3 linked regions of the Oryctolagus cuniculus genome follow. The protein of the gene in region 1 binds, or shares a complex with, the protein of each later gene. Links are inferred from orthologs where the notes say so. Each region holds a gene or a part of one and is shown in the gene's direction. Other genes may lie near its edges. The genes, in order: CWC27, CRIPT and SNIP1.

Region 1 (3,649 bases):
GCAAGTGTTGAAGTGCTTGTTTTCATACTTTTTTATATATGTATACAATTATTGTACTTACATTTCTCTGATGACTACTGATGTTGACTATCTTTTCATATACATATTGGTGCTACTTTTTAATATGAACTCTCGTATTCAGTCAAACTCGAGTTCTTGCTCCCCACCAAATTCTTTGCTTCACTGAGATGCCATGCTTTCTGCCATATCCAAGTTAACTTCTTTCTTCTCTATCAAGACTTCCTAATGATTCTAGAGTCCAGATACTCATACTACAGGAGATCATATATAACCTATCCTGTATGTTTATGACTTCTAAATTGTATATTTATATATAAATGTAAATAATTTCATTAATTTAGCAAACAGATTTGTAGTCTAATTGGACTCACATATATATTATGTTAATTATTTACCTTGTTTAGTAAAAGTTTCTTGTGGAGAGTGCATTGATGGTGGTAGACCTACAATCTGAATAATTTTGATATATTGTGTGTTTGTTTGTTGTTTGCATATTAATGAATTAATTCTCCACGGAGTGAAGAAAAGAAGTAGGAAATAAGAAAAGCAGGAAACTGGATCAGCAACAAAGTAGCCAGGGCTCAAACTGGCACTCCCATAAGAGGTTCAGACACCCCACACAGTGGCTGAACCTACTGCACCATAATGCCTGCCTCTCTGATATTTCTAACAATTTCTTTTATAACTATTTTCTTAAATTCAGGATTCAATAAAATATCACAGATTTCATTTGCTTGATATGTCCCTAGTTGTTGTTGTTGTTTTAAATATTTATTTATTTATTTGAGAGGCAGAGTAACAGAGAGGGAGAGGCAGAGAGAGAGAGAAGTCTTCCATCTGCTCATTCACTCCCCAGTTGGCTACAGCTGCTGGAGCTGGGCTCATCCCAAGCCAGGAGCCAGGAGCTTCTTCCAGGTCTCCCACATGGGTGCAGGGGCCCAAGGACTTGGGCCGTCTTCTACTGCTTTCCCAGGCCATAGCAGAGAGCTGGATTGGAAGTGGAGCAGTCGGGACTTGAACTGGTGCCCATATGGGATACCGACACTGCAGACGGCAGCTTTACCTGCTATGGCACAGTGCCAGCCCTGATATTTTTTAAGAAATAGGAAAAATAAAGTATTGGTTTGGGAGCTGAAGAAAACCAATCTTGGATCAAGTTGTATATTAGCTCTGACAATGGTAGATGGGCTTGATTTTAGATATTGCTAAATTATTTTTGGTTTTTTTTTTTCAGCTTATTATGACAACACCATTTTTCATAGAGTTGTACCTGGTTTTATAGTTCAAGGAGGAGATCCTACTGGCACAGGGACTGGTGGAGAGTCTATCTATGGAGCCCCATTCAAGGCAAGTGAGCTTGGAATGCTTACTCAAAAACGATGTGTCCCTTAAGAAAAAAAATTCCAAAAAGAAATGTTAGTATGCAAAATCAATGTCTGTCACATATTTAAGATTACACAGCATAAGAACAACACTTTTCCCATCAAGCATTCTTTGTAAGTTGTCTTAATGTAAGATTTTATACTAGAATTAATTCAGGGGGAACTCAAGGAGGTAGTGAAAAAGACATGGTTCAGAATAAAGATAGAGTATTTCCTGATGTCTGTCTGTATTGAATATCTGCAGCTCTGTAAATGAAAGCATTTTTTAAACACTGCATATGCTATTCTACTTTAAGTTTTATGTAAACAGTATCTGGAATCTGTAGTAGACTGCTCATCCTGCTATCACCAAATACCAGGCTGGATGGCTTCAACAGTAGGGTTTGTTTCTCATGGTTCTGAGGCTGAGAAGATCAAGCAGTGGTTCGCGGTCAGGTCTGTTTTTCTGGCTTGCAGATGACTGCCTTCTCTGACATCCTCACAGTGGAGAAGGGAAAGAGAAGTCTGGAATCCCTTATTTTTATAAGGACGCAAGCATTATTGGACTAGGGGCCCATCCTTATGACATTGTTTTAACCTTTATTACCTCCTCACGGACCAAAATATAAGTGACATTGTGGGCTAGGAGCTCAGTGTATGAATTTGGGGGTTACACAATTCAGCTCACAGAAGAATATATTCTAAATCATGCACAATAGATCTCGCGGCACAAAATGCACACCACAATTGAAAAATCACAACAGGAAAAGCAACATAAAAAGTGTTAGAAAAAGATACATTAGGAATAGGTCAGTGATTTCTTAACTACCAACAAATCTTAGAAGAACAATGAGGTAATGTCATAGTTAAGATAGAAAGAACTGTGTGTTCAAGTGAAAACTAAAATTTGTGTTCATTATTAACTGCTGGTACCTGTATCATGTTCTTTGAATGAATGAACATCAAAAGCTCTTAGAATTTAGAAGTTTTTGAAAACTTCATATTTCTGTTAATGGGGTAGAATGTCTGGAGTTTCCTTTCTTCTCTGAGTTACTGTGTGAGTCTTCAGAAAAATACTTTATGAATTGTTTGCTTTAATTTCCAGATGATAATGGCCTTAGGAAATAGGAAATGATTATGAAAAAATTTAGATGTCAAGTTAGCCTATTTATATTTACCAAAGTAAAATGACTCATAGTTTTAGAGCCTCTGTCTAGTAGGAAGCATTCCTTTATTCTAGTATTTGGTGTAACAGAATAGCTTTTTTTACAATTCCTTTCTGATTAATTTTTTGCTTTTTTATTTTCATATACTACAATTATTTTGTTAAATTTTTATGTTAGGTAATTTAAAATACAGTATATAGAGTAATGATTCATTGAATTCAGATCTCTTTGAGAATTAACTTATTAAGGAAAAATAACTTCATTTATGACAAGCAGTGATTACATTCATGGCTACATTATACATAATGCAAAATCAGGTCTGGATGGAAATTCTGTGTACTCAATCTTAGCCAAAAGGCCTAGAACCATTGGATATTCTGTAAACAAAGTGGCTTATGTATGTGTTAAGTAACCCTATCATGCAAGATAACCATCTTAGAAAGGCTTGCTCCTGCCCTTTCGGAAACTAGCAGATTGGACCAATGCCAGTTCAGAGAAGATTCAGCTTAGGGCTTCAGTGAAGTCACAGTGAAATCATTTAACATAATCAGAATAAATTCCTTTAATTAAAAAATGAGAAGAAAGCAATTGTTTTACGACATTTATAATGAGATGATGACTATTACCTGAAGACTCTGCAATGACTCAACATTGTTTTCTTGAAGAAAAAAAAGATTTTAAAAGCTTGGATGGTTTTGAGGGATAATAATAGGGAAGTGAATCTTAGAAATCTACTCCCAAATGAATACCCTTCCCCTGCATGTTAGTAGACAGCTTTCCACAAAATATGCTGATCTGTGGCTGAGTATGTCTAGAATATACTTATAGGTTAGTGATTTCTAGTTTAAGTGCATTAAAAGTATAAATATTAGACTTGATTACACTTAAAAGTCAGTTAAATTAAACTTATCATTTTTGTTAGTATTTTGAGATTTTGTTAGTATTTTGAGATCTTACTGGTCAGGTAAATAATCAATTGAATTTGAAATATCTTATAACTGAGAACATTCTCTAAATATTTTTTGTACCTCAGGATGAATTTCACTCTCGGTTGCGTTTTAATAGGAGAGGACTGGTTGCCATGGCAAATGCTGGTCCTCA
Region 2 (3,679 bases), on another chromosome or scaffold:
GTCGGGTAGGGGGAACAGAAATCCATTCTCTCAACAGATCCCCCTTACTTTCTCTGGGCCACCCTCGGAATCCCAGCAGCAGAAGCCACACTCCAGCGCCTGCTCAAAGAACGAAGGAACCCGGGCAGGTGAAGCGCCTGCCCTTCTCGGCGGGCCCACGAGGACACCTGCCGGGCGCGCCTTCGCGGGGCCACCGCCACGGCGCCGGCGATCTCGGCCCGCCCACGCCGGCCAGCAGGGCGCCGGCGAGCCCTCCCGGGGCAGCCGCCGCCCGGGTCGCGGACTTCATCCGCAGCCCCACCCCACACCGGGTCACTGGGGCTCGGCCCGTCAGCCGGCGAAAGCTGAGGGACGCGGGCAGGAACGCGCCTGAGAAAGAGGAGCGGTCCAGCAGGGGAGCCCCTGGGTCACGCGGAAGGAGGCCCTCCGAGGGCCGGCGGGGGCGCGCAAGCTCGCGACCACTCGGGCAGTTGGCGGAGGCGCCTTCCACACCTCCCAGAGGAGAACGCAGCCAACGGGGCTTACCTAACTCTCCCGCCCGCGAAGGGAAAGGGAACTACTGCCTCCCACCATCAAGGCACAACGGGCTGCCCCAGCCCACGCGCAGGCGCAAGCGCGCGGGGCGGAGACCCACGGTCGCACAGCCAATCGCAGAAGGGGATGGGCGGACAAACGAGGCAGCCCCGCCTACCCGCTGGCGTTCATGCCTCCCGCGGCTTTCCAGGCGTAGGATTGGCGGGAGCGGAGGATTAGGGGCCGGAAGTAGATTGACGTAGCCCGGAAGGAAAATTCTTCCCAGGCTGTAGTGTTGATGTTTTCAAGCTGCGGCTGATTCTGGGGCGAGGAGGGCGAATCGTCGGCGGAAAGATGGTGTGCGAAAAATGTGAGTTAAGGGGCCGCTTGTGTGGGGAGAGGAGGCTGGGAGAACTTACTCGGACTCTCCTGGGAACTTGGTTTTTCCTTTTCCCACAGGTCTCTAAGTCTAGCCTGTGTTCTCCCACCCTTGCCCTGTGACCCTTCCTGCCCCTCATCGACTGTGTAATCCCGTATATTTTGTCATCAGAATGGCCTTAGTTCTGCACCTTTTTGCCCATTGCCGTCGCCGCCTTCTGGCTCTCGCCTCATCAGTTACGGCTTCTCGACCGCCTCCGTCAGGCTTAAAATGGACCTTAAAAGTCATTTCTGTAGCGTGTGGAGTTGCGAGATCTAGCAATTCCAGACCTCCAATTGAATTTTAATTTAAGATAAACAACGAATACTTTTTTTTAGTGCTGTAAGTATGCCCCATTCGGTTATTTAGGACGTGCCTTACTAAATTGGCTTCGTTGCTTATTCTGAATGCATCCCATCCTATGAAAGAAACAGTATCTGGGTGGGGGAGGCTGGAGACCCCCACGACCTACGAAGAAGTCTCTGCAAGGAGGCATTGCTGGCTTGAGGAAAGTATTTTCCTCTGTGGTTGCCACCCAGTGTTTTTAATTCAAACTCTTAAGATTTGTAGAAAATACACCCTGTGGACCTACCAAGCTGTTTATGTGTTTAAAAGCAGCTGTCAAGTTCCCAAATCCTCTCCCTCTGGCTCTTCTGTGACAAGAGTTCCACTCCTCTTAATCCTGATTATGGTCTAATGAACATGACCTGTGGGCATCCCCGTGGTAGATGGATACAGTCTGGACACACAGACCCATGGCAAAGCTGCGTGGTGTTCCCAGATTTCCCATCTGAAAATGAGAACGCAACATAAGCCTTGGGTTTTTTTGAGAATTACATGAAATGACATAGGTAATGCCTGGTACAAAGGTCCCTAGTGTGTCCTCTGTCATAACTCACTACTGCGTGACACAGAATTAAACTCTGCTCCATATGTGGGCCAGAGTGCAACTAATGCCTCCCTCCTTCTGGATACTACACCACATACCATTGTTGCCTTACATTAAGCTTTAAGAAAATAACCATTAAGACGTAATTCACATGCCATGCAATTCATGCACTTTAAGTGTACAATTCACTGGTTTTCAGTATATTCAGAGTTGTGCAGTGTGATCATAGGCTGACCTGTCCATCCCTTCAGAAAGTGCATGATCTTACTTGACACTGACTGTCTGTAACTCTGCTTCATCTTGTACTTGCAGTGGTTTTTGGACTTGTGTGTGTATTTGAGTAAGTTTGAATTAAATATCTTTATATTATGTGCTGGCCCAAATGTCTCATCTCTTAGGTGTGGTTCTTAAATCTCTAACTTTGGCCTCCCATGTAATTTGTGTTAGTCTGTCACTTGGGATGCTTGTATCCCAGATTAGAGTGTCTGGGTTTTGCATCCTTGGATGTGAGTCCCAGTTCCACTCCCAACCAGTGAATGGGAAACCACCTGCCTCCCCAACCTGCATTTCAAACAAATAAAATAAAATTTTTTTAAAAAAAATCTTGAATCTCAGTTCACTAGCCTCTACCCCAGCATTAACAGGCTCCCACTGTAATATGACTGTTGATGGCATTGGGAGCCTTGGCACCATGTGGTGTATTTATTAACTAGCAAGTTATAATGCCCCTTTTACTATTTTATCACAACAGGTGAAAAGAAACTTGGCACTGTTATCACTCCGGATACATGGAAGGATGGTGCAAGAAATACCACAGGTATTTTTTTTCTTTTGGAAAACAGAAATTGAATTAAATACCACCTGTGAATAATATATTTTTACATTTATTTGTAAAGTGAGATGTTGTATTCTCAGAGTATCTTGTCTATAAAGAATATACGGGGTCCCCCAGTGATTTAATGCCTTCTCTCTAGTTCTCCCAGTTACATGCACAGGTTCCTAACATAGTAAGCAGGAGATAGCAAACCTACTAAATATTTTCAAGTGATGAGTGTGTCATAGTGTAGAGTCCGAATTTAATTTCTCCTCTCCTCACCTAGTTTTTATCTTCTTTATAAAAAAAAAATTACTTAAGCTGTTTTCACCAGGAAGGAAACGAAAGTTGAACTGGACTCAGAGTCTGTGACACCAAAGTAGTAACTTCTAGATTTTATAGTGGATGGAGTAAATGTAGACTCACCCCTAAAGTACTGCTTGCTGTCTGAGTAAGAAAACTGCATCTCACATAAACGTCATTGTTTCCCTAATATTTTCTAAGTAGCATCTCAAAAACTTAGCTATTTCACGAGAATTTAAAAATTTTGATATAGGCTATTCTAATGGTGGGAGGTCAAAGGATGAACTTCTAACTGAATTAGTAGGTGTGATGTTAAGTATGTAGAAATAACTTACTGAAATATTTTGATACAGAAAGTGGTGGAAGAAAGCTGAATGAAAATAAAGCTTTGACTTCAAAAAAAGCAAGGTGGGTAAGAGCCTCTGTGGAGCCGTCGTGTAAGTTCCCACTCCTGAGACTAAGCATGCGGGAGTGAATTTACTGTTCATCATTGCATTGTGCTCAAAGCATGAGAGGTCCTGGCAGAGGGAGCCAGGGATCTGGTGTAACCTGCTGGTTAGCACTGTTCCTTCTCACTGTGTCAGCCTCTGGAGATACCAGTGCCACGGTCTCTATAATTGGACCAGAAGACATGAACTAGCAGATGGGGGATCTGGGTCTCAATCTTTCCCTCTCTGCCCCCACCCCCACTTGTCTCTTTGTCTCTTGAGAAGATAAAATGAAAAATCCAGAGACCCCGCCA
Region 3 (3,749 bases), on another chromosome or scaffold:
CGCCCACGCTTTACCTTGGGGGCAGAATGGCATTCAAAATTTCTTCTGCCTGCTTTGTAGGATCTGGGACACAGGAAGTTGAGGGGAGCTTGGTCTTGGTTATCTGTGGGATTGGACTGGAGGGTCCCGGCTGCTGGGGGCTGGCTTTCAGTGGCCGAGCCTGGGAAGAGACGATTCAGGCCTTCAGCCCCCTGGACGCCTCCGGGTCTTGCGCACCCCCTCCCCTACCCCCAGCCCGTGAAGAGTCCCTGGTCCCAACGCAATGCGCGGACCAGTGTTTCTGGAGGAAGCGGTCAGGCGTCTGCGCTCCCACCTGTAGCGGTGGGGACATCGCGACCTGACCTGTCCTTGAACCCGACTACCGGGAGAGGAATCCCTACCGTCTGTCTCCCCGCGACCAGGTCTAACCTGCGGCGCTCACACCCAGCGACATCTGGACCACCCGGACCACTCGCTCCCTCTCCGCCCGTCCCAGGGCCCGTCCCCGGACTCCGGACTCTCGCCGCGGGGATCTGCCTGGCCCGGTCCCCCGAGGCCCGTCCTCACTTTGGGGCTCCGTTTCTCCGTGTTCCGGCTCACCAACACCGGGGTGTCGTACTTGAGCAGAGAGTCGGCCGGGGGGATCATGGCGGCGATGGGGGCCTGGTTTGCGGTCACCATGGAAACCGCCCCCCCTCCCGGCCGGGGCGGGGCCTCGGGTGGGCGTGGCGCGGCGCGCGGACGCGTCCCGCGCAGCCCTGGCGCTCGGCCCCGGCACTCGGCGTCTTAATCTTGCTGCCAGCCGGGTCGCCCGGGAGACGGGGGTTCGAGTCCCTGCGCTGCGTATAGCGCGCAACTTGCGTGATTGGGTAGATCCCCCTTCGCTGAGCCCCAAGATTGTCACCTCAGTGAAGGGCTGGAGACCATTCCCCAAAAGAGGGTCTCTGGAATCCCCAGGGCTTTAAAAAGTATTCCTCAAGGTTAAATGGCGAACTGACATAGCAGGATTTGTCCACGGGCTACTATGATTGCATTTTTGTATTTCCAAGGCCAAATGGAATCACGGTTGGCGCGCAGTTTCGTCGCCTTCCTCTACCGTGTCGGTCCGGGCTTTTTCCACAAAGCGGTATATGGTTCGTGATAACGTTACTAATAGCTACGTAATGCCCAGTGATTGGCTAAGGAGCCCCCTACAGCTGTACACTGAGGTTGCCCACATGCTCTGTAGTTACGCGGTGAAGAATTAACTTGAGAGGTTCGCTTTTCCCCAGTAGTTTGCTTTCCAAACTTAAAACTCCCGCCCTTCGGGCCGGCTCCCTGCAGCCCCGCCCACGGGGGGGGCGCCGTCACATGTTCAGCGCTCCGCCGCGAGGGTTGCTGGGAGAGCTCACACCCCGGAAGCGGAAGTCCAGAGGTCAAGCTCGTCATTTCCTTCGGAGAGAGTGGCTCAACGGACCTCTTTTCTTTTGCCCGACCCGAGTCGCAGAATGAAAGAGGTGAAGAGCGAGCGGGAGCGGAGGAGCCGGCGGAGGCACCGGGAGGGGGACGTGGCGGCGGCGGCGGCGGCGGTGGTGGTGAAGCAGGAGCGCCTCAGCCCGGAAGCCGAGCCGCCCGCCCCCCGCCGGCCGGACCTCGGCGCTACTCCGTCCCCGCCGGCCGGCGAGCCGGGCCGCCCTGGCCACCGCGGGAGCAGAGCCCGGGGAGAGAGCCGGTAAGCAGAGAACAGCCGGGGTGGACCTTGGGTCGGACTCATTGAGAAAAGAGCACAGGGCCGGCATCAGAAGTGGGTTCTGAATGCCGAGCCCAGCAGCGGGAGGCGGTGGGAGTGGCCGGGTCGCGCTCGGGTAAAGGCGTGTGTGCTCCGGTGCTGGTTACTTGCGTGACAGCTGGGGTCGAGCTGATGCCTGTGGGTCAGGGCCTCGCCCCCTCTTTCGTGTGTCGCCAGCACTTCGCGGAGCGCGTGGCCCAGCGGCTAGCACTCATCGTCCGTTAAGTTGAAAGATTTTCCCCCCGTCTGCCCGCGCAGGGAGTGCGGGCGTTGTCTTCGCCCTTATCCACCCCACGCGAGTATAAGCGATCTGCTAGGTGCACTGTTTGTTCATCGTTCAGCGTACTTTTACTGAATGCCTATAGGGTACTAAAGAGTGCACTAGGGACCTGGGCCACACGGGTGAGGCTTTCGTGAAATTGGACGAGCTTGAGCCCCAGGAAGACTGCCAACATGCAAACAAAACAGTTTCCGATGGCAACAGGTCTCAGGGCTAGGTCGGCCCAGTAAGGTGATCGTGAGAGACTGGAAGGAAGCGGGGATAGAACTCTTTGAAAGAGGTGCCGTTTGAGCAGAGACCTGAGTGATCTGGCCGCCGAGGAAACGTGCAAGGAACGTGAGCTAGAAGTCGTGATCGTGGAGGAGGAGGAGGATGGTAGCGATGAGGTGGGCCGGGGAGGAGGTGCCTCCCGTGAATTGTGGTGATGAGAGTGACTTCTGCATGGTGGTGGGCGAACAGCCAAGGGACAGACCTGGACAGGAGAGTCTTCAAAGGGTAGGGGATGGAGAGCCGTGTTCCCTGAGTGAGGAGGATCCGAGGCTCCGAGGCAGCGGCGTAGGCGGGAGAGTAGGTGAGGAACGGGAAGCCCCCCGGCTCCTTTGGTGTGATCAGCAGTCTTTCACAAATGTGTTTGTGTTAGTAGGTAAGCCCCATACCAGAAGCTAGCTTATGTGGGGGAAGGGAAACTGAGATAAAATCCTGTGTGTACCATGCCCTGAAAGGTCTCCAGCCAAAAAGAAAAACAAGTCCTCGGGGAGAAGAAGCAAGTCTCCTCGGAGCAAGAGAAGTCGGAGTCCTCACCACTCGGCAGTCAAAGTGAAGCAGGTAAGTGGGCTGGGGTGTGTTGAGGTGGGGTCTTAGGCCAGCGCCTCTTCCTGCCACCGCAGCCAGGGAAACAGCCAGCCAGAAGCACACCCACAGAGACAGCACCTACACCTGCAGCGGGCTTTTCTGAAAACTGAGTGTGTGAGTTTGTTTTGGTTGTTGGTAAATTTCTGCTGGTTTTCTTAAGCTTTTTTATTTTGAGATAATTACTGATTTAGATCAGATTTAATAAAGACAGGTGTTTCTCCCAATGGAAGCATGGTACAGAAGTGTAGTCACAATATCACAATCAAAATATTGGCATAAGTTACAAAACGTTTTTCCTGCCACCTGGACATGGCATGTTGTCCTGTTATAGCACACCCACTTCTTTCCCACCTTCTCCCTTCCATAAGTCCTGGCAACTTTTAATCTGTTGGCTTAATTTTGTCATGTGTCAAGAATGTTACAGGCCGGCGTCACGGCTCACTTGGCTAATCCTCCGCCTGCGGCACTCGGTACACCGGGTTCTAGTCCCGGTCAGGGCCCCGGATTCTGTCCTGGTTGCCCCTCTTCCAGGCCAGCTCTCTGCTGTGGCCCGGGAGTGCAGTGGAGGATGGCCCAAGTGCTTGGGCCCTGCACCCGCATGGGAGACCAGGAGAAGCACCTGGTTCCTGCTTTCGGATCAGCGCGGTGTAGCGGCCATTAGAGGGTGAACCAACGGCAAAAGAAGACCTTTCTCTCTGTCTCTCTTACTGTCCACTCTGCCTGTCAAAAAAAAAAAAAAGTTACATAAGCGGCATCACACACCATGTAACCTTTGGGACTGGCTTTTTTCACTCAGCAAAGTTCTTTGGCATGTAGGTTGTTGCATTGATCAGTTCATTCCTTCTTCTTGAGTGGTATCTGTAGTATTAG

The links.
Region 2: CWC27 (region 1) and CRIPT share a complex: the UniProt entries of both Homo sapiens proteins name them as parts of the minor spliceosome. The link is inferred for Oryctolagus cuniculus from reciprocal best matches to the Homo sapiens genes CWC27 and CRIPT.
Region 3: CWC27 (region 1) and SNIP1 share a complex: the UniProt entries of both Homo sapiens proteins name them as parts of the minor spliceosome. The link is inferred for Oryctolagus cuniculus from reciprocal best matches to the Homo sapiens genes CWC27 and SNIP1.

The regions. Positions count from the first base shown.
Region 1 is NC_091445.1:85,773,825-85,777,473, forward strand, and holds part of CWC27 (spliceosome-associated protein CWC27 homolog), read left to right. Parts: intron 1-1,255; coding exon 1,256-1,368; intron 1,369-3,581; coding exon 3,582-3,649. UniProt on the Homo sapiens protein: As part of the spliceosome, plays a role in pre-mRNA splicing. Probable inactive PPIase with no peptidyl-prolyl cis-trans isomerase activity. As a component of the minor spliceosome, involved in the splicing of U12-type introns in pre-mRNAs.
Region 2 is NC_091433.1:156,146,710-156,150,388, reverse strand, and holds the start of CRIPT (cysteine-rich PDZ-binding protein), read left to right. Parts: upstream 1-730; 5' UTR 731-867; coding exon 868-883; intron 884-2,571; coding exon 2,572-2,637; intron 2,638-3,290; coding exon 3,291-3,345; intron 3,346-3,679. UniProt on the Homo sapiens protein: As a component of the minor spliceosome, involved in the splicing of U12-type introns in pre-mRNAs. Involved in the cytoskeletal anchoring of DLG4 in excitatory synapses.
Region 3 is NC_091438.1:135,212,925-135,216,673, forward strand, and holds the start of SNIP1 (smad nuclear-interacting protein 1), read left to right. Parts: upstream 1-1,375; 5' UTR 1,376-1,466; coding exon 1,467-1,690; intron 1,691-2,749; coding exon 2,750-2,852; intron 2,853-3,749. Other genes in the region: DNALI1 (axonemal dynein light intermediate polypeptide 1), read right to left, coding at 15-160, 547-660. UniProt on the Homo sapiens protein: Required for pre-mRNA splicing as component of the spliceosome. As a component of the minor spliceosome, involved in the splicing of U12-type introns in pre-mRNAs. Down-regulates NF-kappa-B signaling by competing with RELA for CREBBP/EP300 binding.